Linked DNA regions of Rattus norvegicus. The protein of the gene in region 1 interacts with the protein of each later gene in a pairwise test. Links are inferred from orthologs where the notes say so. Each region holds a gene or a part of one and is shown in the gene's direction. Other genes may lie near its edges. The genes, in order: Arr3, Dvl2, Gnmt and Zfp496.

Evidence for each region.
Region 2: the proteins of Arr3 (region 1) and Dvl2 interact in a two-hybrid assay, tested with the Homo sapiens proteins (2 studies listed by BioGRID and IntAct). The two-hybrid records come from large-scale screens. The link is inferred for Rattus norvegicus from reciprocal best matches to the Homo sapiens genes ARR3 and DVL2.
Region 3: the proteins of Arr3 (region 1) and Gnmt interact in a two-hybrid assay, tested with the Homo sapiens proteins (2 studies listed by BioGRID and IntAct). The two-hybrid records come from large-scale screens. The link is inferred for Rattus norvegicus from reciprocal best matches to the Homo sapiens genes ARR3 and GNMT.
Region 4: the proteins of Arr3 (region 1) and Zfp496 interact in binary tests that used the Homo sapiens proteins (3 or more experiments, as listed by UniProt). The two-hybrid records come from large-scale screens. The link is inferred for Rattus norvegicus from reciprocal best matches to the Homo sapiens genes ARR3 and ZNF496.

Annotation. Positions count from the first base shown.
Region 1 is NC_086039.1:69,748,748-69,753,637, forward strand, and holds the end of Arr3 (arrestin-C), read left to right. Parts: intron 1-1,802; coding exon 1,803-1,886; intron 1,887-2,132; coding exon 2,133-2,156; intron 2,157-2,313; coding exon 2,314-2,378; intron 2,379-2,797; coding exon 2,798-2,807; intron 2,808-3,317; exon of another isoform or gene 3,318-3,395; coding exon 3,396-3,453; 3' UTR 3,454-3,553; downstream 3,554-4,890. UniProt on the Homo sapiens protein: May play a role in an as yet undefined retina-specific signal transduction. Could bind to photoactivated-phosphorylated red/green opsins.
Region 2 is NC_086028.1:55,220,082-55,226,377, forward strand, and holds the start of Dvl2 (segment polarity protein dishevelled homolog DVL-2), read left to right. Parts: upstream 1-2,204; 5' UTR 2,205-2,238; coding exon 2,239-2,432; intron 2,433-6,196; coding exon 6,197-6,266; intron 6,267-6,296. Other genes in the region: Phf23 (PHD finger protein 23), read left to right, coding at 1-532, 641-855.
Region 3 is NC_086027.1:21,750,001-21,756,079, forward strand, and holds Gnmt (glycine N-methyltransferase), read left to right. Parts: upstream 1-2,281; 5' UTR 2,282-2,285; coding exon 2,286-2,491; intron 2,492-3,934; coding exon 3,935-4,062; intron 4,063-4,618; coding exon 4,619-4,729; intron 4,730-4,922; coding exon 4,923-5,065; intron 5,066-5,152; coding exon 5,153-5,274; coding exon of another isoform or gene 5,275-5,360; coding exon 5,361-5,532; downstream 5,533-6,079. Other genes in the region: peroxisomal ATPase PEX6, read right to left, coding at 5,963-6,079. UniProt on the Homo sapiens protein: Catalyzes the methylation of glycine by using S-adenosylmethionine (AdoMet) to form N-methylglycine (sarcosine) with the concomitant production of S-adenosylhomocysteine (AdoHcy), a reaction regulated by the binding of 5-methyltetrahydrofolate.
Region 4 is NC_086028.1:44,783,112-44,789,345, reverse strand, and holds the start of Zfp496 (zinc finger protein 496), read left to right. Parts: upstream 1-2,157; 5' UTR 2,158-2,209; intron 2,210-2,411; 5' UTR 2,412-2,608; intron 2,609-4,190; 5' UTR 4,191-4,296; intron 4,297-4,594; 5' UTR 4,595-4,632; coding exon 4,633-5,022; intron 5,023-5,295; coding exon 5,296-5,473; intron 5,474-6,234. UniProt on the Homo sapiens protein: DNA-binding transcription factor that can both act as an activator and a repressor.

The DNA of each region.
Region 1 (4,890 bases):
TGCTTGTAATCCTAGCACTTAGTGGTCAGCACTGAGGCAGGAGAATCACAAGTTTGAGGCCTGCCTGGACTATGCAGGAAGACCTTGTCAAAAAATGATACAAACAGGGCTGCTGTGATGTCTCAATCAGTAAAGGCTCCTGCTGTTAAGCTGACTGCTTGAGTTAGATTCCTCAGAACCCATATGGGGAAGAAAAGAACCAATTCTTGTTCTCTGCCCTCCACATGCTCACCATGGCATCCCCATCCCCACAAATGTACAAGGGTCCAAAATGGATAAACAAAACTGCAATGATAATAAAAGAATTAAAAACAAGACACAATTCACAAAGGCCTTAGTTACATCTATCATTATATTCCTAAGAGTATCACTGGGCAGTGGTGGCATGTGCCTTTAATCCCAGCACTTGAGAGGCAAAGGCATGTGGATCTCTGTGAGTTTGAGGCCAGCCTGGTCTACAGATACAGTTTCACTACATCCAGGACTATACAGGGAAACCCTGTCTTGAAGAAAAAAAGAAAGAAAAAGAAAAAAAGAAAGAATACCATTAAAGTACACTGGCCAGGTGGTTGGGTTTATTGTTGTTTCTAAGGTGCAGAGAATGAACTCAGGGCCTTGCATCCCGAATCACGGCCAGATATGTTATTCAATTTTACACATAAGGACTCCAAGGCTCAAAGGCAAGGAATTTGTTCAAGATTGTATAAGTACGCAGCAAAGAGGATTCTATTTTATGCCAACTGGCTCTAAACACTGTGATCTCTACAACAGTTACTATCTAGAGAAGGTAGACTAGAGTAGAAGGTTGGGCAAGGAAAGATGGTGGAAAAGGAGAATATGTAATGACAATTATATGGCAGGAATTGATAAAATTCTTCAATGGCATTCATTTGTCTCTATGCCTTCAGATTAGCATTAAGTGTGTTTCTCACCAAAGCAATTTGTCTACCATCTACAATCATAAATGACCAATTCTCCCCATGCCTGATCAATCCAGTATCTACAGGTTGTTATTCATAGCAATAGCCTTGGAAATTATCCAAATAGCATTATTTTGTAGAAAGGGTTCAGCACCCCCAAATCAACCAAAAGACTACCCTAAGATCCTTCCACTTTCGGCATCTCATCTTTCCATCAGCAGGTTTCTATTGAGCACCTATTAAATGCTCATTCCTATGCAATATAATGTGGCTATACAAAGAAATTTAAGACAATATTTTCCTTTAGTAAATATATGACCTGGATGAGGAACAAAGAGGAATGTAAATGTAATCCAACAGTTAAGTGTTGGTGCATGTGGTTTATATTATGAGTCCAATAGAAGCTAAAAGCCAAAAGAGCTGGCGAGGGATTCTTAGAGGAGATAGAATGATCTAGATCTTGAAAAGTGTTTAAAATCTAAATGCCAATAGTAGAAGGACAATTTCAGACAGGGAACATGGCACGGGAAGATGCTAGAAGGCACTCTGAGGAGTATGATGGGAAGACAAGTCGGCATAGGCTGTTCTCTAGGTGTTTGGCAGTCAGGCAGAAAAGAGAGAAGTAGATAAGGTTAGATTCTTTGGCTCCTGAAAATTAAGCAGAATAACAAATTAGGCCCTCAAACAGACAGTAACATGATCAAATGGAATTTTAGGAAGAAAACTGTCATCTCAATTGGGTAGAAACAGTTATAGCCTGGGATATCTTTTGGGCAACGACAAAGGCAATGGAACATGCTACTAGGAAAGCATGGGAAGGATTTGGGGGGAGGTAAATTCAATTATACTCCTAACACCGCAAATTAATACTACAATGTCAAGTCTTCGACCTGGAATGAACAAGGAGCTACTGGGGATCCTGGTGTCCTACAAAGTTAAAGTCAACTTGATGGTGTCCTATGGGGGGTAAGTGAGGATTTCCATTTGGTCTGGGCAGGGGCTGGGAGCCAAGAGTTTCTTACTTGTTTTTCTCCCTGTTGGATTGACCCATTCAAAGGTATTCCTCTTTTTCCAGACTAAGTTCCCAAGTCACTTTCTCTGCTAAAGTCCCATTCTGTTACTAAGTTGGCCTTCTGATACCTTATGCCTAGCAAAACTGGGTTGACTCCTCCCCATTTTAGCTACTAATTTGGGGTGTCATTTTATTCACAGCATTCTAGGAGGTCTGCCAGCCAGGTGAGAAGCTAGGGTGAGAGGTCCGAGGCAGGACAGGGAGGAGACCAAAGGTGCCCTCAGAAGAATCTGAGGGCCTGAGAGGATTGGGAAAACTGAAGGAAGGTTGCTGATTGGGTCCTTTAAGAACATCAGCAACTCCACCTTGGGATGCTTGCAGTGATGTTGGTGTGGAGCTCCCCCTGATCTTGATCCATCCAAAGCCACCTCACGGTGAGAGAGCAGGTGAGGCTCCCAGGAACTATTATCCTGTGGGTTTGGGGCTAAGCAGTTCTCAAAAAAGAGTGGCTTCAGGGCTGGAGAGATGGCTCAGAGGTTAAGAGCACTGACTGCTCTTCCAGAGATCCTGAGTTCAAATCCCAGCAACCACATGGTGGCTCACAGCCATCTGTAATGCGATCTGATGCCCTCTTCTGGTTTCTGAAGACAGCTACAGTGTACTTCTATAGAATAAACAAATCTTTAAAAAAAAAAAGAGTGGCTTCAGATAGACTGACAATAGGCAGGTTGGATGTCTAGCTTTTCAAGGAACATTTGGGGGAGGGGAAGGACTGGGGGGAGGGGGAAGAAGGAAAATATCATGGATCTGCACAGACGCTTCTGAGCTTCAGTTCCATTTCCCATCCCCTCCATGCTTGCCACAGTGGCTACCAGGTAGGTCAGCATGAGGCTTGGAAATGCCACCCCTCCCCCTTGCCTATTGCTGTTTTAGAATGGAATTTTTAAAGCTTCCTCAAAGTGTTGCTTTCATGACTGTGCACCAGAACCATGGTTTAGCTTCATGTCAGTTTGGTGCTTTCCACAGCCCTCCGTCCTGTCAGCCTCCCTGCCCTTCACTTGCTGCTCTTCTGGGAAATTTTATTCCGCCCCATCCTTTCCATTTTTCTTTCTCTCTTTTCTTCCCTCCGAAATCCCATTCTGTTGTTAAGTTGTTCTTGTGATCCCTCACTCCCTGGAAAACTAGGTTGGTTGTGCTTTCTCTGTGACTTGGGGTCCTCCTTTTCCACATCATCCTCATCTTTTTTTAATCCTTTCCCTGTACCCCATGCTCCACTGTTTCCCTTCTAATGCACCTTGACACCATTGTCTAGACAGATTCAGAAGGGAAACAAGCCCTCCCCATGGGGCAAGGAGGGGAAGGCTGAGAAGCAGGGAAGTGATTACCTCTCTAGAATCAAGAATGTGGAGGAAGCCCAGAGAGGGGTTTGATAACTCTCCTTTCCCCTTTGCTGCTCCTGCAAGCTCGGAGGACATAGTTGTCGAAGAGTTTATGCAGCAGAACAGCCAGACACAAAGCTAGAAAGCTCCAACAGCAGACACAGTTAAGAGCCGATAGTCATCTCTGATAATTCTGTGTGGAAGCCCCTGTTGTAACACTCTAATAAAAGGTTTTGTCTGGACATGGCTGGTGTGATCTCTGTGCCTTTTGTTTTCCTCTGGGAGAACACGGAACTCCAGATAATGATCTCTGCTGCAGGCGCCTGTACCTCTCCCACCCTTACCTACAAGCTTGATTAGGTATCTTGTGTTAGGTAATTTGCCCCTATGTGGTCCCTCTGAGTCACTTGCCTTTTCTCTCTGGCCTCAGCTACCCTAGTCCCTGCCTGACGACTTACTCTTGTAATTACTTTTGGTCTAGCAGTACCTGGTTCTTACACTGTAAAGAACCCCACAGAGGAAGCCAAAAGGGTGTGGCCACTCCTAGACTTGGCTATGATGACAACTGTCAACGGTTGCTACTGGAGGAGAACATGGTGATGTCAGGTGGTACAGGTTCAAGTACAGAAAATCATTGTTACAGTATTTCTGCCTGCTCGGTTCAAGGAATGTTTCTGGTCCTTTTAAGGTGAGGCCAGGAGCCCTGGAATGAGGCCAGAGGCCATGTCCTAGAGACTAATAAGAAACACAAATACCGACCTCTGTGCAAAGTCAGGTTCCTATTCCTGGTCTAAGATGGGCTTTAAGATAAGGAGCTATGAATAGCACGGAATGAGAGGAGGAGGCTACCTCTAGACTGAGTCTTTTGTTGACCAGCTAGGGTGTGTGCTGGCAGGGGACAGGATTCTGAGAGCCTCTGGCCTTTCAAAGAGACAAGTACATACTAGATGTATGAGGAGACAGAGGTGATGTCATCAATGTGGTGTGTACCATGACCAACACATGGTAAGGTTTGTTGGTCTACACACTTAAAGTTTAATCCTCACATGAAGGTGCTACTGTGCTGTCTACTCGAGGCATCAGAACCCAGTGTTGGAAACGTCATGGGTTCAAGGCTTCCAGTGTTCCAGGCCCTAGGCCAGCATGATTATATGTAAGGATTTAACCTCATCCACTAACTACAGGTTTTCACTATCCGGTTCTTTTCCTTTTCCTTTGCCTAGGCAAGTCTCTGCAGAAAAGGATGAAGAATAATCTGGAGACCTCAATGTGATGGTTGTTGGGACGAGTGCCCAAACCAGTTGCAGTGTGAGAAACAGAACACCCATTCCTCTTTATGACATAGCCTTTGCAAGGTCTCTAGTTTCCCACTACTACTTACCTTTAGATAACCGTAGTTCACCCTATGATGGCGAGGTGGCAAAGTTCGTCCACCACCCCCTATCATGCAGCCTGAAAGCACAAAATCATCTGAGCCTCTGAACCTTTAAAATTGCTTTTAATTCACTGTCCATATACTAAAACAGCTATTCTAGTATGGTTTCTGCCCTTCCTTAAATGGCTTCACCTCCACTGTAGA
Region 2 (6,296 bases), on another chromosome or scaffold:
TTGACCTCCCGGCCTCCTGCTGCTCTCACCCCAGTGCCACTGTCCCAGGGGGACCTCTCCCAGCCTCGAAAGAAGGACCGAAAGAATAGAAAGTTGGGACCAGGAGGTGGGGCTGGCTTTGGGGTGCTTCGGAGACCTCGGCCAGCTCCTGGGGATGGGGAAAAACGGTCTCGAATCAAGAAGAGCAAGAAGCGGAAGTTGAAAAAGGCCGACCGGGGGGATAGACTCCCACCTCCTGGCCCTCCTAGGGCTCCTCCCAGTGATACAGACTCTGAAGAGGAGGAGGAAGAGGAAGAAGAGGAAGACGATGAGGAAGAGACGACAGTGGTGGGTGGTGGTGGAGTTCCAGCCCCTGTGCTCCCAACACCCCCTGAAGCCCCCAGGCCCCCTGTTACAGTGCACCCTGAAGGGGCTCCCCCTACTGACAGTGAAGGCAAAGATGCGGGCAGCACAGAAACAAGCCAAGATGGAGATGGCAGCTCCAGTGAAGGAGAGATGCGGGTCATGGATGAGGACATCATGGTAGAATCAGGTGAGAAGGGTAGGGCTGCCCCGGCATGGGAAGCTGGGGTGATGGGCTTGGGGGCTGTTATGAGTTAAGCCTTGAAGCAGAACACTAAACAGACTTTTTTCCCCCCAGGTGATGACTCATGGGATCTGATCACATGTTACTGCAGAAAGCCCTTTGCTGGGCGGCCCATGATCGAGTGCAGCCTCTGTGGGACATGGATCCACCTCTCCTGTGCTAAGATTAAGAAGACCAATGTTCCTGACTTCTTTTATTGCCAGAAATGCAAGGAACTTCGGCCAGAGGCCCGGCGGTTAGGGGGTCTTCCCAAATCTGGAGAACCCTGACGTCACTGTTTAAGGCTGGAACTTCTGACATGGGAACTGAGCCTCAGTCTCCAGCCTTCCCTTGGATTGAGGAAGGTGTCCCCACTTGAGGGCCAGAATTCCCAAGGGAGAGGTGTCCTACCTGCTCCGTGGACTTGAAATTGACCCATTACAATTGGGTTAGGGGAGGCTGGATCTGTAGACAAAAATCTCTGTCCAGTGAACCCTCCACCCTTTTCACTTTCAGGGCCAGGGCTCAAACTGGGCTGTAATGGGATAGTTGTCTATGAAACTGTAGTGTAAATACAGCACTCCCTTCCTCACATTTCTTCTTTCTTCCATTTACTTTCTTCTACACCGGATGTATTTTTAATTTTGGGCTCCCCCATTTGAGCGAGGTTGCTCAAAGGTGGAGAACCAAAGCCTGGTGGAGTGAGGAAGGAAAGCAAAAAAGGTGTCAATTATCACTCGCCTTGTTTTTAATAATATCGGCTGGCTGCTTGTACAGACGGCCTACGTGTTGTAAATAAAGCAGAGTGGGCTCTTGTGTTTTACAGCCCTTGTTGTCCTGTTTGGGGAGGGGATCTTTGGGAAACCTGGTGGAACTTTGGGTAGAGTTGGGGCTGAAGCCCACTCTTAAGTCCAGGGCTGTAATTTCACAGTTGTAGAGGTGGAAAATTTAGGGGCTATGTCTGGCTTGGACTCTAGGAGACCCTGTCTAAAGCCCCTCATCACCACCTTCCACGATAAATCAAATCTCTAAAGGAGAAGCTTTCAGCTCTCTCATCCCAAGTACAGTCTAGGAGCTACCTACACTAAGGGCTTAAGTTGAGATTCTCACTTAACAGCCCATAACTCACGCCCCTCTAATAGTTGCTAACTGAGGTCCCTTGAGCCTCAGATGAGTAAAGCAAAGTGGGGGCCAGTTGCCAGCATTCCAGAGAGTAGAAGCTTGCTAAGGTGCTTGGCGGGGGAGGGGGTGTTACACGTTTTGGGGGCGGAGTCGTCTAGGGCTGAAGACCGTTGCTCAAGGCAGTGGTCACGTGAGTGTCTAGGTGGAGCTTGTAGTAACGTGACATAAGGAAGTCACGTGAAGGACAGTCCGCTGCGCAAAGTGGGCGGGCTTGGGTCACGTGGCATGGGGAGAGGTGGGCGGGGACCTCGGTGCTGCTCGCGACGTCCGTGGTGGTAGTGGCCCTCGTCTGTGGGGTCTAGGTTTTGAGTCTCGCCACACGGCTCTTCTCGATCAGACCGCTGTTCCACGCCATCCTCCTTGGACACGTCTTCCGCACTGGCCCTGCACTGCCGGCGCTAGCGCGTCAGTTTGCGGGTGTGCGCAGGCGCGGCGGGGGCGCCTAGTCCTGTTGGGTGGGCGGCTGAGCCCGGGAGCGCGTGAGCGAGACCATGGCGGGCAGCAGCGCGGGGGGCGGTGGTGTAGGCGAGACGAAGGTGATTTACCATCTGGATGAAGAAGAGACTCCTTACCTGGTGAAGATCCCTGTCCCGGCGGAGCGCATCACGCTCGGCGATTTCAAGAGCGTTTTGCAGCGGCCCGCGGGCGCTAAGTACTTTTTCAAGTCTATGGATCAGGATTTTGGGTAAGCGCGAGGCCTAGACTGAGAAGGACGGTGGGTGTGCTGGTGTGGATTGGGAGATGTTGAGGCCTGTAGTGGAGCATAGCATATTGTACTGTGCTAAGGTAGAAAGCCCATCCCAAGACAAACACGGTTATATTTGGACACATAGAAGAACGGGCTGAATTTTAGCAAACCAGAGGCGAGAAATTTAGGTTGGAAAAATGGGGAACATTGGTTTGTTTGGCCATTCTCTCCCCGTGATTTTAGCCAAAAGGCAAATTAGTGATGCTTGAGTTTATTCTAAGCTGCTGAGGCTAGAATCATCTATCGTTTGGTAAGTTGGTACGCTCTCAGACGTCTGCACATGAGTGTATAGAGATGCTTGTAATTTCTTTTTCTGTTTGCTTGTTTTGATTTGTTCTTTTGTCTTGAGGCAGGGCTTTATTCTTTGTATCCTAGGCTGGTTTCGAACTCACGGAGTTCCTGCCTCAGCCTCCAGAGCTGGAATTAACAGGTGTGAGCCAATATGCTTGGCATGCAGTGTCTTTATGTAGACTGGGCTATAGTGAGACAATTTAGGCTATTAGTTAGGCTTATTAATTAGGTTCCATAGTATTTCGGGACGGTGTAATCCGTAATAATGCGGAGAGAGCTCTACTGGGATATATTAGGCTGTCTTGAAGTAGATTTTTCTAGCAAAGCATGTACTAATCTGGACTCTTCTGGGTTCTTATTTTCTGTTAGGGCCAGAACCTTTTTTTTTCCGGGACCGAGGAGAGTTGGAGGATTTTTTTGTTTGTTTGTTTGTTTGTTTATTTTTTAAAAGATACTTTATATGAAAGTTAGTAGTAGTGTGTACATCTTTAATCCAAGAACTTGGGAAACAGAGGCAGACAGATCTTTGAATTAGAGGACAGCCTGTTCTGCAGAGCTAGCGCCAGGACAGCCAGGACTGCACAAAAAAACCTTGTCTGAAAGCAAAACAAACCAAAGATACTTTATGTTTTTGGGTGTTCTGTATGCATAGTTGTGTACCACACGGCATGCAGTGCTCACCGAATCCAGTAGATGGCATGACATCTCTTAGAACAGGAGTTCGCATATGCTAGCCACTTTGTGTGTGCTGGGAATTGAACTCCAGTCTTCTGCTGAGCCTGTCAGTCTACTGCTAAGCCAGAACTTCCTTCTGTTACTGAAGCTAACTAGAACATACCGCCTTGTCTTGAACTTGTAGCAGTCCTGCCACTACATCTGCATCCAGAATGCTAGAACTAGGTATGTGTGGCAATATGCCTGGTCCAGACCTAGGTTTATTATGTTATAAGACAGGACAAATGGGGACAGATAGGCTGGTGGTACCACTACATCACAGCAGAACGGGGTATTGTAATCAATATTGGTGTAGAGGACTGCTAGTATGGAGACACTGGGGGCTATGCCAGAAAAGATTGGGTTTTGGGGTGATTTGTGATGTTCTGGGTGATCCTGGGCTGGACTGGGACTGTAATTATGGTAGAGTACGGCAGCCTTCTGTTGTTGTAGCTGTTGGGACAGCCTTCTGTGTCTCCTGGCTCAGACTGCATTAGGCTGGGATGTCCTGAGTTTATAAGCAGGGATAGTAGGGTCCTGGGGAGAGAAAGGTGACCTACCACCTGGGTAGGGAAGGGACTTCTTACCTGTGAAAGTCCCTGGGTTGGAGCACATCCCCCTCTGCTACTTGAATAGACTGGACCCTCATTAAAGACTGTTCGACTTTGAGAAAGTGATGCGATCTAGGGAGTTGTCTTGGATTTCCATCAAAGTTCTTCTTTTTACATTATAATTTTGGGCAATTTATTTAGCTTTTGTGCTTTGATTTCTTCATCTGTGGCACGGTGATAATCATAGTGCAGAATGCTTAATTTAGGTGCACAGCACATGGTACATTCTGGGTGACTGGTAATTTTCATTTAGTATTGAGGCTAACTAGTTCATAGACTAGATTATAGTGATAGGAAATTGCTTGCTTTAGAGGAGACAGGGCCATGCCAGGTTGGTTTATGTTAGGAAGAGTTATGCTGAGTAGATCAGTGCTGATAGGGCTGTGTTGTCTTGACAGCAGATGTATTCATGAGGCCTATACTCAAGCCCCCAGAGTATATTAGGTTGGAGTTAATCGGACAGATGTATTTATGTGCCATGCATGCCCAGTACCTCTGAAGTTAGAAGAAAGAAGTCAGATCCCTTGGAACTGGAATTATGGATAGTTGTGAGCCACTAGGTAGGTGCTGGGAACCAAACCTGGGCCTTTTGCTAGAACTGTAAGTGCTTTTTTTTTTTTTTTTTTTTTTTTTTTTTGGTTCTTTTTTTTGGTTCTTTTTTTCGGAGCTGGGGACCGAACCCAGGGCCTTGCGCTTCCTAGGCAAGTGCTCTACCACTGAGCCAATCCTCTAGCCCCCATCCCACCCCCAAGAACTTCTACTTTGAGGGTGAGGTTGTTATTGTGTATATGAAAGAATGGTTTGTGGCTCACATTTCGTCTGTGTTTGCTAATGCTTACAAAGGTGAGGGCTTGTGCGCACACCCAGGACACCTGTGGAATAGAATAGGTATTGACACTTTCTCATGGGTATGAGAAGGAACAAGCCTAGTCCACTGCAGGAACCTGTGGGAGGCTGGGCTTTGGGATTTTTCAGGCTGAGCAGATTGCTTAGTGAGGTGAGGCAGCCGGAAATGGGAAGCCCAGCTTCCTCTATTCGTGGGAGCTTTCCACACATGGGGTATTATTGTTGCATTTAGTGTGTTTGTACCCAGCAAAAGCCACACATTTGGGCAGGTTCTGGATGTGAATTAGAGAGAACTAAAATGCAGAGGAACAGCAGCAGATTACATGAGGACCAGAGGCTTTTATGGGACAGATGTGTAGGACAGAGACGGTTAGGCTGCCTGCCAGCCAGACTCCTAAGTTAGGTATCTGGAGCAGTTGTTGGGAACTGTCCCAGAGGGAATTTGGAGTGGTACTATGAGGTTTGGATCAAATGGGAAGAAGTCTTTTTAGCGGCACTGTGCCTCTACAGATGAGTGGGGGAGGAGGGGGTCTTGGGATAAAATAAGGAGAGTCTGGGATTACTTCACTGTAAAAGCAGAGGAGCCAGGCATGGTGAGGCATGCTAGCCATGCGGCATAGCTAGTTTTGGTGACATATGCCTTTAATACCAGGATGGAGAGGCAGAGGCAGGCAGATCTCTATGAGTTTGAGGCCAACCAGGGATACAGCTCGCTGGCTCTCTCTCTCTCTCTCTCTCTCTCTCTCTCTCTCTCTCAGGGATACAGCTCGCTGGCTCTCTCTCTCTCTCTCTCTCTCTCTCTCACACACACACACACACACACACACACTAACTCTGCTGTGCTTGGACTGGATGGAGATTGGGAGAGACTTGGAATGAGATTCGGAATGGGGGTGACCAGTTTAGCCTTACTAATCCCCTCTCCCTGTTTTTTGAGACAGGGTTTCTTTGTGGCGCCCTGGCTGTCCTGGTACTCTCTCTCTCTGTAAACTAGGCTGGCCTCAAACTCAGGTTACCTACTTCTTCTTCCAGAATGCTGAAATTAAAGGCACGTGCCACCACCATCCAGCTTCTGTGTGTGTGTGTGTGTGTGTGTGTGTGTGTGTGTGTGTGTGTGTGTGTGTGTGTGTGTAAAACCCTGGCTCACTGAGTGCCTCCTGCCTCGGCCTCCCATGTGTTAGAGTTGAAGGTGTACCCTATCACACCTGGCTCTTAGTAATGGCTCTTCTCTCTCTGCAGGGTGGTGAAGGAAGAGATCTCTGACGACAGTGCCCGCCTACCTTGCTTCAATGGAAGGGTTGTCTCCTGGGTAAGGGACTCGTTACCAAGCTGCTTCCAA
Region 3 (6,079 bases), on another chromosome or scaffold:
TCTGCCTCCTGAGTGCTGGGATTAAAGATGTACATTTAGCTGGGTCGTGGATTCACCTTTAAACCCAGCACTCGGGAGGCAGAAGCAAGCTGATCTCTGGCAGTTCAAGGCCAGCCAGGACTACACAGAGAAACCCTGTCTCAAAAGCAAAAAAGTACCTATCACTTGCTATACCTGGTTCCCCAATTTTTAAAACCTAAATAAATAAATGAAAATATACCACTTAAGATGTTCAGATGAGGGCTGGATAAATGGCTCAGTGGTTAGAGCACTGACTGCTCTTCCAGAGGTCATGAGTTCAATTCCCAGCAACCACATGGTGGCTCACAACCATCTGTAATGAGATCTGGTGCCCTCTTCTGGCCTGCAGTCACATATGCAGGCAGAATGCTATGCATAAAAATAAATAAATCTTAAAAAAAAAAAAATGTTCAGATGAGATTTGAAAGTCTAGGGTTGATAGGTTTATCCCCCAAATGTTTTAATGCATGGCATCGGATTTACTTGAAATTCCTAAATCCAGTCTCTCTGCTCTTTGGACTGATGTAGCAGATTTGCCTTGAACTTTATGTAGCCTAGAACAACCTTGAACTCCAGCTTTTCTGTCCCCAGCTCCCAAGTACTGGACTTAAAGCATGCACCATCACACTCAGCCTTGAGACTCTTTCTGAGCCTAGTGTCAGAGACCTGTGTATTGGGACATTGAGTCCCCGAGCCTGAGCCTGGAAAGAACCATTTGCAATTGCTCTGTGCTAACAAAATTAAAAAAATGTGGGCTGGAGAGATAGGTCAGCCATTAAGAGCCCTATCTGCAGCTAGGGTGATGCATGCCTTCATTCCTAGCACTTGGGAGGCAGAGTCAGGCAGATCTCTGAGTTCCATGACAGCCTGGTCTACAGAGTGAGTTCTAGGACAGCCAAGGCTGCACAGAGAAACCCTGTCTCACAAACAAAATACAAACACAATAAACCCACTTGCTCCTCTGGAGGTTCAGTGGCTTACAACTGCTGGTAACTCCAGTTTCAGAGTATCTGATGCTCTGTTCTGGTCTCCATGGGTACCAGACATCTACAGGCATATATGAAGTCAAAACAACTATACACATTATAAAAAAAGTTAGATCATCGGGCTGGAGAGATGCTCAGTGGTTAAGAGCAATGATCGCTCTTGCCTAGATCCTGAGTTCAATTCCCAGCAACCACATGGTGGCTCACAACCATCTGTAATGGGATCTGATGCCCTCTTCCGGTGTGTCTGAAGACAGTGACAGTGGACTCACATACATACAATAAATAAAATAAATAAAAATAAAAGGTCACACAGTTGTAGTTGTTCTTCCATCTCTGGGGTTCTCCCTACATCAGAAAGGCTAGGGGAGGGAGGCATCTCTGGGCTTCTCTTGCTGTAACTAATCTTTGTGGAGTTGGAAGTGAGGGGGCGAGGCTGGAAGGCTCCCCCCTCCCCCTGCCGCATCTGAGTCTTTGGTCACACACATCTTCCAGAACCTGCTTTATCCCTGCTGGGATCTTGTCCTTGGTGGGGAAAAAAGAGTGAGCGGATGAGCCAAATTGACCCCAGAGTTATGAAGTGATGCCAGGCAGAGCTGGGACACTAGGTGACCTTCACTCCTGACCCTGAACTTCTCCCCCTGCCGGCGCCCCCATGGAAAGCAGGCTTACAAGGTTTCCCAGAGGGTTCTCCAATTCTTGAGCACAAATAATCCTCCTGTCTCAACCTTACTACACCAGGCTTTCGGAGAGTGCAGAGTGTATAACAGCCTGTGGGTTGGAAGGCCCAGGCTACCTTAGGAGGCGCAAGCGGTGAGGTAGAGACCGATGCTATCACCTAGAGAGATACACGCCTATCTCCAGGTGTACTCCTGTACTTGGATGTTCGGCCACCTTTCTCAAAGCCTGATTAGTGGAGTGTTCCCTCCACTAAATGTTATGTGTGATATGTAGACAGCTTACTGTGCTGGGCCTGGTCTAATTCTGCTTTGGGCGGATTTCAAAGTCGTCTTCCCTTTCTTACTTAGGTAGGGGTGCTTTACTTTATTGGTTCCTCCTGGCCACCCTGGTGCGTCCTATCTGACCTATCTGACTATGGGAAAACCAGATCCAGGATTGCCAGGCTGAGCTATCCTCACCGCGGGGGCAGCCTGCCTGGCCCAGGGCCCAGCAGGGGCGTGTCCCTGCGCTCACCTGCCATTGGCCAGGTGGGGCCGCCCTGCCAGAGGACTATAAGTGCGTGCGGAGCTAGTGGCCTGAGAGCCAAGCGCCGTCAGGATGGTGGACAGCGTGTACCGTACCCGCTCCCTGGGGGTGGCGGCCGAAGGGATCCCCGACCAGTATGCGGATGGGGAGGCCGCACGTGTGTGGCAGCTGTACATCGGGGACACCCGCAGCCGTACTGCAGAGTACAAGGCGTGGTTGCTTGGGCTGCTGCGCCAGCACGGGTGCCACCGGGTGCTGGACGTGGCCTGTGGCACAGGGTGAGTCCAAACGAGCTGGCTTGACTAGGACTACTGCACCACAGGAAGGCCATTCGGGGCAGCCTTTGTGGGCTGGAGCCTGGCAGGCAGTACTAGGGGGTCAAGAGTCCTTGCTCATCGGGGTAGAATGGACATGGTGAGAGCATCTGCCGAACCAGTGTGGGAAGGGGGCCAGGGAGACTCAGGACCCGGGTGTGAACAGAGAAGGGCTCATGGGACAGCAAAAGCCGAGCATTGGGTCAAGCTTGATCCTTGGCTCCAGCGTTGTTCCTCCTGCGATGGCCTCTGGCAGTGTGAACAGAACATTTGTGGCACGTTTGCACAGCCAAGAGCTGTGCCAGGAGTTTGGGTACATGTGTTGCAAACTGTAACAAAACCCCATGAGGTAAGTAGTGGTTTTCTCCAACCAGTATTAAAGGAACTCATTTCCAAGAGGTAAAAGGCCTCCATTTGGTGGAGAGGATATAGACCAGGATAGGGTCTGACCCACGCTCCAAAGTCAACACAGGACACACAGAGACACCTCTGACTGAGAGAACTTCCAGGAGCACCAGCACGCCAGGTTCTCAACTGCACGTTCATCATCGCCTGGAACTCCATCCCAGGGGGAAGTCAGCGCCCCCTCCTGGCCATGCGGGCCACTGCACTCACATGTACACATAGAGACATCATTGAAAACTTAAAAAAAAATGTTGCTGGCAGGAGTGGTGGCACATATCTTTAATCTCAGCACTTGGGAGAGCCTAAATAGGTGGGTCTCTGTGAGTTCCAGGCCATCCAGGGCTACATAATGAGATACTATCTCTAACAAGAGGGGGCTGGGGGGGTTGGGGATTTAGCTCAGTGGTAGAGCGCTTGCCTAGGAAGCGCAAGGCCCTGGGTTCGGTCCCCAGCTCCGAAAAAAAGAACCAAAAAAAAAAAAAAAAGGGGGGGGGCTGGGGAGATGGCTTATGTTCTTATAGATGACCCAAGTTCGGTGTCAACACGCTCCCCTGGCTTCTGCAGACGCGAGGCACACACATGATGGACTTTTTAGGCAAGACACATAAAATTAAAGTTTGATTTTTTGTTTTTGAAACATTGTCTCTCTTTGTAGCCCCAGCTGTCCCAGAACTCATGATTTAAATCAGGCTAAAAACCCTTTCAAAAACTTGCTACCTGAAAAGGAATATTCTTTTTTTTTTTTTTTTTCTTTTTTTTGGAGCCGGGGACCGAACCCAGGGCCTTGCGCTTGCTAGGCAAGTGCTCTACCACTGAGCCAAATCCCCAACCCCTTGAAAAGGAATATTCTTAAGGGGTCGTCTGAGGTCAGTATAGATGGCCTGGGACAGGAAGCAGAGGAAAGGACTCTGGAATGTTATGTTTGGGGAAACGTCATGCACATTTGGGTCCCCAGACCCCTCTGACTGGGCCTCTCAGTCCCTGGTCTCTGACCTCATCCAGAGTGGACTCGATTATGCTGGTGGAAGAGGGCTTTAGCGTCACGAGTGTGGATGCCAGCGACAAGATGCTGAAATACGCACTGAAGGAGCGCTGGAACCGGAGGAAGGAGCCAGCCTTTGACAAGTGGGGTATGTCTGTCCAGCCATGCCCCTGGGGCATGCATCTCCAGGGCCACTCTTCTGTCTGCCCTAGCTCTTTCATGCAGGGTGGGCTGGCTGGTTTTCCTCAGGGCAAGGTGCAGTTCCTCTGACCTTCCTAAAAAGGGAGGCTTTGACATCAAAGTGGGATTCCAGGTGCTAAGAGCAGGTTTGTGCCATTTTTGGTGCTAGGGTTTGAACTTGGGCATGCTAAGTGGACAGGTGACCACTGAGCTACACGGCTAGCATTCTTTATATTTTTCCCGTGCTGCCTGGTCTGGCTGGGCTGGGTTCAGGTGATGGATGCTTCTGTCTCGGTTTCCCATCCAGCAGGGTCCAGAGGTGTACACATAATACACTGGACCTGCACTGTTTACGGCATCCTCTCTCTCCTCCGTACAAAAGCCCGAGTGGAGAGCTGGCTTTTCCAACAATGGCTCTCTCCCATGTCACCCTCCTTGTCCCTAATGAATCCCCGCGTGTCTCTGGGTGGAGGTGGTTGCTTCTGTGCTGTGCTATAACTTCGAACTCCTCCCCCGGCCTCTAGTCATTGAAGAAGCCAACTGGTTGACTCTGGACAAAGATGTGCCAGCAGGAGATGGCTTTGACGCTGTCATCTGCCTTGGGAACAGTTTTGCTCACTTGCCGGACAGCAAAGGTAAGCTGGTGGCCTTGGCTGTGGCTCTTGCCTTGAGCTCCACCACTTCCGCCGACGGCTGGCCAGCTGCTGTGATAAGGGCTGACCTGCGTTTTGCCTGTCCTCTTTAGTGCTGGCACTTGGGAGGGAGGTGGGAGGAATAGAGGTGCGGGTGCCCAAGCAGATGGTGTCTGTGGCCCTGCCTGGCACCCAGGTGACCAGAGTGAGCACCGGCTGGCGCTAAAGAACATCGCAAGCATGGTGCGGCCCGGGGGCCTGCTGGTCATCGACCACCGCAACTACGACTACATCCTCAGCACGGGCTGTGCACCCCCAGGGAAGAACATCTACTATAAGGTTGGGCTGGTCCCCAGTGGGACGGGAGCTGGAGAAGTCCCATGGTGGACTAATGGAAGCTAATGCAGCTGATGCCACTGCCCTCAGAGTGACCTGACCAAGGACATTACGACATCAGTGCTGACAGTAAACAACAAAGCCCACATGGTAACCCTGGACTACACAGTGCAGGTGCCAGGTGCTGGCAGAGATGGCGCTCCTGGCTTCAGGTATGGCATGATTTGGCAGGAGAGGTGGTGGTGGGGGAGACTTGAGGCCAGCAGCCCTCATTATTTGGCTGGGGGCCCTGTTGCAGTAAGTTTCGGCTCTCTTACTACCCACACTGTTTGGCGTCTTTCACGGAGTTGGTCCAAGAAGCCTTTGGGGGCAGGTGCCAGCACAGCGTCCTGGGTGACTTCAAGCCTTACAGGCCCGGCCAGGCCTACGTTCCCTGCTACTTCATCCACGTGCTCAAGAAGACAGGCTGAGCCTGGCTCCGGCTCCCACCCTAAGACCATCGCCTACCACAGATATTGCAGAGATGTGGGGGGCAGGCAAACAGGGAGTCGACAATACAGCCTTCCCTTGCCAATCCTGTGCCCTGTGTTTCTTTCAGAAGTAATGTGGTGTTCATCCCACCTTCCCTAGACCTTACTCTTCCCATAACCTTGGCATTTGCACCGCAACCTCTCACAAGACCAGCAGGGGGCAGTATAGACTTTATTTTCTGTCTGAGAACTGGGGCCTCAATGCCCATTCCAGGCTGCCACGCCCCCAAGCTGCCAGCCCTGCCTCTTCTCCTGGGCACAAGGGCCTCCCACTAGGGATCTCAGGGTATCTCCTGGAGGGAGGCAGCCTTCAGGTGGCAGGTGGCAGCTACCTCCAGCCAGGTGGGCTTTTGCAGGCGGCAGGAAGCTCCTAGCAGGCAGCAAACTTGCGTTGGATACGCTTGTATCGCAGCAGCTCCTGCTCGCTGACTGAGGGCTGCAGCCGGGCTGCGGCCTGCAACAGGTCCTCCATGGTGAGCAACAGTGC
Region 4 (6,234 bases), on another chromosome or scaffold:
GAATCATTGTGACAACAGGGTTTACAAGTGTCATCGGTACTTCACCCACAACTTCCGACAGAACCCTGGCTGTTACAGAATGTGGTGCCTTTCTGTGGCTTCTAGTGCTGCCTCAGGGCCGGATCACCTAAACTCCTTCATTTCAAAGACCACTTTTGCTAGCATGTCTGACCCACCTGACTTCAGTACAGCTTAGAAGCGATGCTGGGCCCCGCCCAGCCCTGCTGCCTTGAAGCTGCTGCTCTGATTTGGATTCCCGTGGCTCCAAAGACCACAGGTCTGTTCACTATTTGCCCTTCCAACGGCCAGCAGAGTGCACAGATGTGCCCCGGGATCTGAATGGGAGCTTCAAACTGCAGGTGTCTTGTAGACTCTCGGTACACATTTCCTGAATAGCCACAGAATGAAGCAGACAGCATCAGTCTTCTGCACGAGGCACCTGAACACAGAAAGGCCATGCAGGCCTTAGATCACCTGACTGGGCCTCGATGGGCATGATTTAACCCAGGTGCTCTGATCCCAAACCCAACCTACTAGTCCCTAAGCCAGGTCCTGTGCTGAAGAAGCACAAAACGAAGGCACATTGGAGCCATTGGCAGCTACCAAACCTAGAGAGGGGACTGGAATCCTGAGAGCTTCGAGCTCAGGGGGATGAACTAAAGGGAAGGTGTGTATGTGAAGAAAAAAAGAATCCCATGAAGTGTACCAGCCACCTCTTGGCCCTGCAATTTTACCTGCGTGAGGGCTCCAATAAGCAAGACTCTTAGAAGGAATTCAAATATTCAGCGGCCACCAGGCGGAGCTTCAACAGCAGCCCTTCAGGATGCACAGCTGGGCTAATCACTAGGCTTGACTCCCCCAGTGGGGAGGGGGCGGTCCTTTGGTCACGCTAGGCTGTGCTTCCTGGCTGGTGTTCTTGCTAAGGGACTGGCATGAATTTGTAAGTCTAGGTGGCTCCTGTTGCTTTATGCCTTGGTGACCCTTGGGTGACCTTTGGGTGACCCTTGCTTGCTCAGTTCGGCTGCACTTAGAGAACATATCCACTTGGTTCACCTCCTAACGGCACAAAATCTGGACATCTGACTCAATACCTACTAGTCGGAAGTAATCATCCGAGTCATTAGAAGGAAATGGACGCACGAAGGCCCACAAGACAAAAGCAGTCGGCTGGTCGTGGGGTATCTCTATCAAGTCATCTTCTTTAAGGGAACTGACTTCCTACCATGATGTACCCTTGCAAGAGAATGCGGGGGAGGGGGGAATCAGCACAGTAGCTTGCTTCTAGGCACTTTCCTTTGACAGTGCGGTTCCATTGTCCAGCCCTGGAGAATAAGGGAGGATTTGGACTCTACTTAACACAGGGTAGATGCAACAGAAATCGATTCCAATGCTAGAGCTTCTCACTCTCCGTGACTGAAGTCACTCTGTCCATGCACTAAGCCAGCGTCAAGCTCCCTGATTCACACTCTCAGGATTGGCAGCCTTCTCTCTCCGTACTCACCAGGACTGTCCTAGTGCTCAGAGGGACCCAGAGTGCTACAGAGAAACTGTAGATCATCTCCTCGCCACGAAGGCGCGGGCCGATGCTTCGGCAAGCACAGTGGATCGCCGGGTCTGCATTTCTCTAGTCGTACTGATTTGGGTGACTCTGGCAGCGTTGGCTTTGAGATGGAATTTTGGCTGGAAGGGGTTGGGGCGCAACAGCACACACGGGATGCGGGTGGTCACAGGGAGATCCCCTTACACCTCCTCCCTCCTCCTCCTCCCAATTCTGGCATTTCGCCAGCGCCGCCAGACCAGCCCTTCCCTGCACCCACACGAGAGGAGCAGGGAAGAGCGAAGCCCCAGGCCGGCCTCCTTGGCTGGTGGCCGCGCGAACTGGCCCCCAGCGCCCCGGTCCCGCCGGGGCGCGCGCGCATCCCGAGCGGACTACGAAGACCCACAAAGCTAAAGCCCGGGCCCCGCGCCCAGGCCGGCGAACACGGAGCAGGGCGGGGCGGGGCGGGCCAGGCGGGCCGGGGGTGTCGGATGTCACCCCCCGCGTACACCTCGGCCCGGAGGCGGGGAAGCGAACCATTGAGATGAGGAGACCTCCTCGGTCCTAGAGCGGTGCAGGAAGTGTCCCAGGGGAGGGAGCCGGAGGGCTCCGGCCTTTCCTTTCCGCGGCGGCCCGGCCTGCGCGGCCCGCCAACCGGGACGCTGCGCAGCGGTGAGTATACCGCGGCCGGGTTTCCCATGCCCCGCTGCCTGAACCCGGATCTTGCTCCCCACTTCCCGCGCTCTGAAACCCAGCCCCGCGCCTGGGTCCTGCTCCCTGTTCTCCTCTTCCCGCGTCCGGGCCCGGATCCCTGCTCCCAGAGCCGCGTCCTCATAGGTGCCCTCGGGGATGAAGCCATACGATTATCTTTCAGGCGTCTCCCTTCGCTCCCAAGCCCAGCTGATGCATTCTAGAGGATCACGAGACAGGGTTGGCCTGGCCAGGGACCGAGTCTGGCCCATGCATTGGAGCCGCCTTGGCCAAGACACCAGAGAGACCGAGCTGGAAGGTGAGGATCTGCTCCCCTGCTGTCCCCAGGCTTCGAGGTGAAGAGCCAGCGAATCTGAAAGAGTAAGCGACAGAAACCCCCATAGTTCTCCTGGCCTAAAACACCCTCCTCCTCCTCCTCATTCCTTCCCTGGGATCCTGCTCCTTCAATAACTGCTTTGGGCAAGCCCCGCCCCTGCGGGAGCCCTCCCCTCACTAACGGTAGTTCATTCATAAAGCTTCCGCTCCCGAGGCTCCTGCGCGCCAGGTGCCAGAGTGACAAAGAGGCACACGCTTGTCTGGCCTAGGACTCTCTGAGAGCAGTTTCACATCAGAATTGAATGCTGAGGGTGGGACCCTGGGTACCCTATCCTACGTGCAAACCTGAGCCATTCAGGGCCCAGCAGGTGGGAGATAGTGGGCGGAGGAAGCTGAAGATAGCGGGCGGGGCCCAGACTGGGTTCTTAATACCGGAGTAAGACGAGAGTATTCGCGGTTCACAGCCTGTTGCTTTCTGAGACTCTCTTCGGTTGTCTGTCTTTACTTCGGAAATCGAAGGAATACAGCAAAGTTAGGGGTTCCAAGTTGTTCGGTCGCTTGGCGGCTTTCTGTTATCGCTTGTCTTCCTGCAAAGTGGTGCTGCCCCGTTGGGAATCTCTTCCAGGTGAGGGTGTAAAGGGCCAGTCAGTGACCTTGCCTGGGGTTTCCAGAATCCTGAGAGCGGTTAGGTTAGAACCCTGTGTCTCCGATTGCCTTTTCTCAGAGTGTTCGAAAGTGTGGGTCAAGTGGAAGAGACCATGCTGTGGCTGGTGCCCCTGGTGTGTTTGCTGAATTTGTGTGTGTGTGTGTGTCTGTGTGTGTCTGTGTGTGAATCTGTGGCACTCGGAGTTCCCAGAGAACTGAAAGTCTGGCCATGACTGCCTCCCTCAGGATCAGGAGTTAGGTACATTTTTTAGATACTAAAACATAATTACATAATTTCCCTTTCCCTCAGGATCAGGAATTAGGTACATTTTTAGATACTAAAATATAATTACATAATTTCTCCCTTACCTTCCCACCAACCCCTTTACTCACACACACACTTATGAACTCACTTGCACGCTTAACTACATAACAAGAACTTCTAAAAAATTTTAAGATTTTTTAAAATAATGTGTATGCCTCTGTGGACATCTTTGTGTGGGTCTGTGCGCTTGGGTGTGGTGCCGATGGAGGCCAGAAGAGGGTGTGGGAGACCCTGGAGTTGAACGTACAGGATGACTTGAGGGGTGGGTAGTGGGAAAAATAGCGTGTCCTCTTAACCACTCTGCTGCCTCTCCGACCCCAAGAGATTATAGTTCCCGTGTTGGACCCAGGTGGGTAGAAGGCTTGTCATAAAGCACTATTTGGGGAAGAGACACAGTTTTGGTGCACTAGCTGCCATTCTGTCCGTGAGCTGCACCCCCCAGGCCTAGCACAAGTGTTTTTAAATACAGTGTTATTTTTCTCAGGTAAACCTCTGTGGCTAGCTCTGTGTTCCTTCTGTGCCTGGGGGTTTTTGTCCTTGCCAATGCCCAGTGAAAGCTCTCTTGGGCTTTTGTCCATGCATCCTGTCCTTGGCAGAGTGACATTGTTCCACAGTGGTCTTCCATGACTCTTCCCTTACATATTTTTTTTTCTTCAGTTCAATTTGTGAAGACCTCAAGAACAGAGACAGTGACTTTGTCTCCAAAGCGTCCAGATTATCGCCGCCTGGGGCTATATCCTCCGGGAGGACCTGCCCATCAAAGGTATCACAAACCTTGGTTACACATAGCTGTCTGTGATTCTCCTGGGGCCCTGGAATCCTGTTGGAATGACACCACTTTTCTCTCAAATTTACTGCCTTTTTTACTGCCACGTGTTAGGGGACTGCACATGGAGTGATGGCTTGTGGGAAGGGTCATCTTTCTTTGTCACACCAACACTTCTTACATTTCCCAGGGATTCCTCCAAGGGCTGGTCTCCCATGGGCTCTGTCTAGCACCCCCTCAGAAATAACCACAGGAGACCAGAGCATTGAAGCCAGCGATTTCTGTTTGGAAATAGGGTCGTCTTCTGCCGCTGACCCTCCATCAAATCCCATCATGCCCACAGCCCTGTGCCCACGAGTCTTGGCTCCAAAGGAAAGCGAGGAGCCCAGGAAAATGCGGAGTCCTCCTGGAGAGAACCCCAGCCCTCAGGGTGAGCCTCCCAGCCCAGAGTCCTCTCGACGCCTCTTCCGCCGGTTCCGCTACCAGGAGGCCGCAGGCCCTCGGGAGGCCCTGCAGCGCCTCTGGGAGCTGTGCCGGGGCTGGCTGAGGCTCGAAAGGCACACGAAGGAGCAGATCCTGGAACTACTGGTGCTGGAGCAGTTCTTGGCTATCCTGCCGTGGGAGATCCAGAGCTGGGTGCGTGCCCAGGAGCCTGAGAGCGGAGAGCAGGCTGTGGCTGCAGTAGAGGCTCTGGAACGGGAGCCAGGGAGACCCTGGCAGTGGGTGAGCACGGGGCATCTGGGAGAGGGGAGCCCTTGCTGACCCTGTGAGACTTCTGACCCCAGATGAGAAATTCTGTCCAGACCCAGTGTTTGGTTTCCTAAGAAAGCAAACATTACTCTCTATTAAGTCTAAGTTGAGAGAATTGTTACCTAGCAAGTCGGTGCCGGCAAGATCAGAAAGGGAGAAGGCCTACCCAGCCCTGTGCAGAGCCTAAGGGCCGGCTTTATCATCCTCCTCTACTTGGGCCCTGATCTGCTTTCTCTGGGATTGCAGCTCAAGCACTGTGAAGACCCCGTGGTAATTGATGACGGTGATGGGCCTGCGCCTCAGGATCTAGAACAAGAACGAATGTCTGCAGAGTCCCAGAGCAACCCTGATGCCCTGCCGGGGGCTCTAGCACAGGACCCTGGGCTCCTAAGCAGATCGCCAGGCCAGCCTAGTGAAGACCCAGGTATGCGGCTTGTAGTGTGCTTGGGTGTTGACTAAAGTGATGGCCTTTTACACTCTCTGACCCACGACCTATTACTGTATTCTGGGTCTTTCCGTAGAGCAACCAACCCAGAGTCTCTTCTTAGTATGGAGTCCTCTCAGAGGGAAGGCCTGGGTGAACAGATGCTGTGAGATTATATGGTCTTCTTTCTTTGAGTGTGTTCTCAGTGGAGACAGAGGTAGTCACTGTGGGACCAGGACCTGATCTAAGCATGGCTCTGTCTTCTGTCCTCTCAGAAACCACATTTTCTTGGCTAGGTTACCCTGCAGCTGTAAGAAATCTAAAATCCCCTGGGAGAGCACAGTGACCTCTCCTGCAGATGGCTGCAGTGCCCTGCGGCAGGGTTTGAGTATCTGTTTAAACCTCCAACAGCTGCAAAGAGGGGGGATGTGTTACACTCAAAACCTGAGCCACCAGTCCTTTGAGTTGTAATAGGTCACTTCTTGGTTCCTTAGAGTTTGGTTCCCCAAAGCCCCTCCAGGCCCAGGGACCCCGTATTCCTCTTATAAACCTTACTTACCATTACAACAGTACTTTTAATTATAAAAGGAAAAGTGCATTCTTGAGATTGTTTTTAGTTATTTCTGGTCTTGAATCTGTTCGGTGAGTTGGAGGCACAGCTTTGTGCTAGAGCACTGCTTAGCATGTGTAAGTCTCTGGCACCTTATCCAAACTAAAAACAAAGCCAGCTTCCAGTCTTTCTTTTTTTCTCCTTTCCTTCC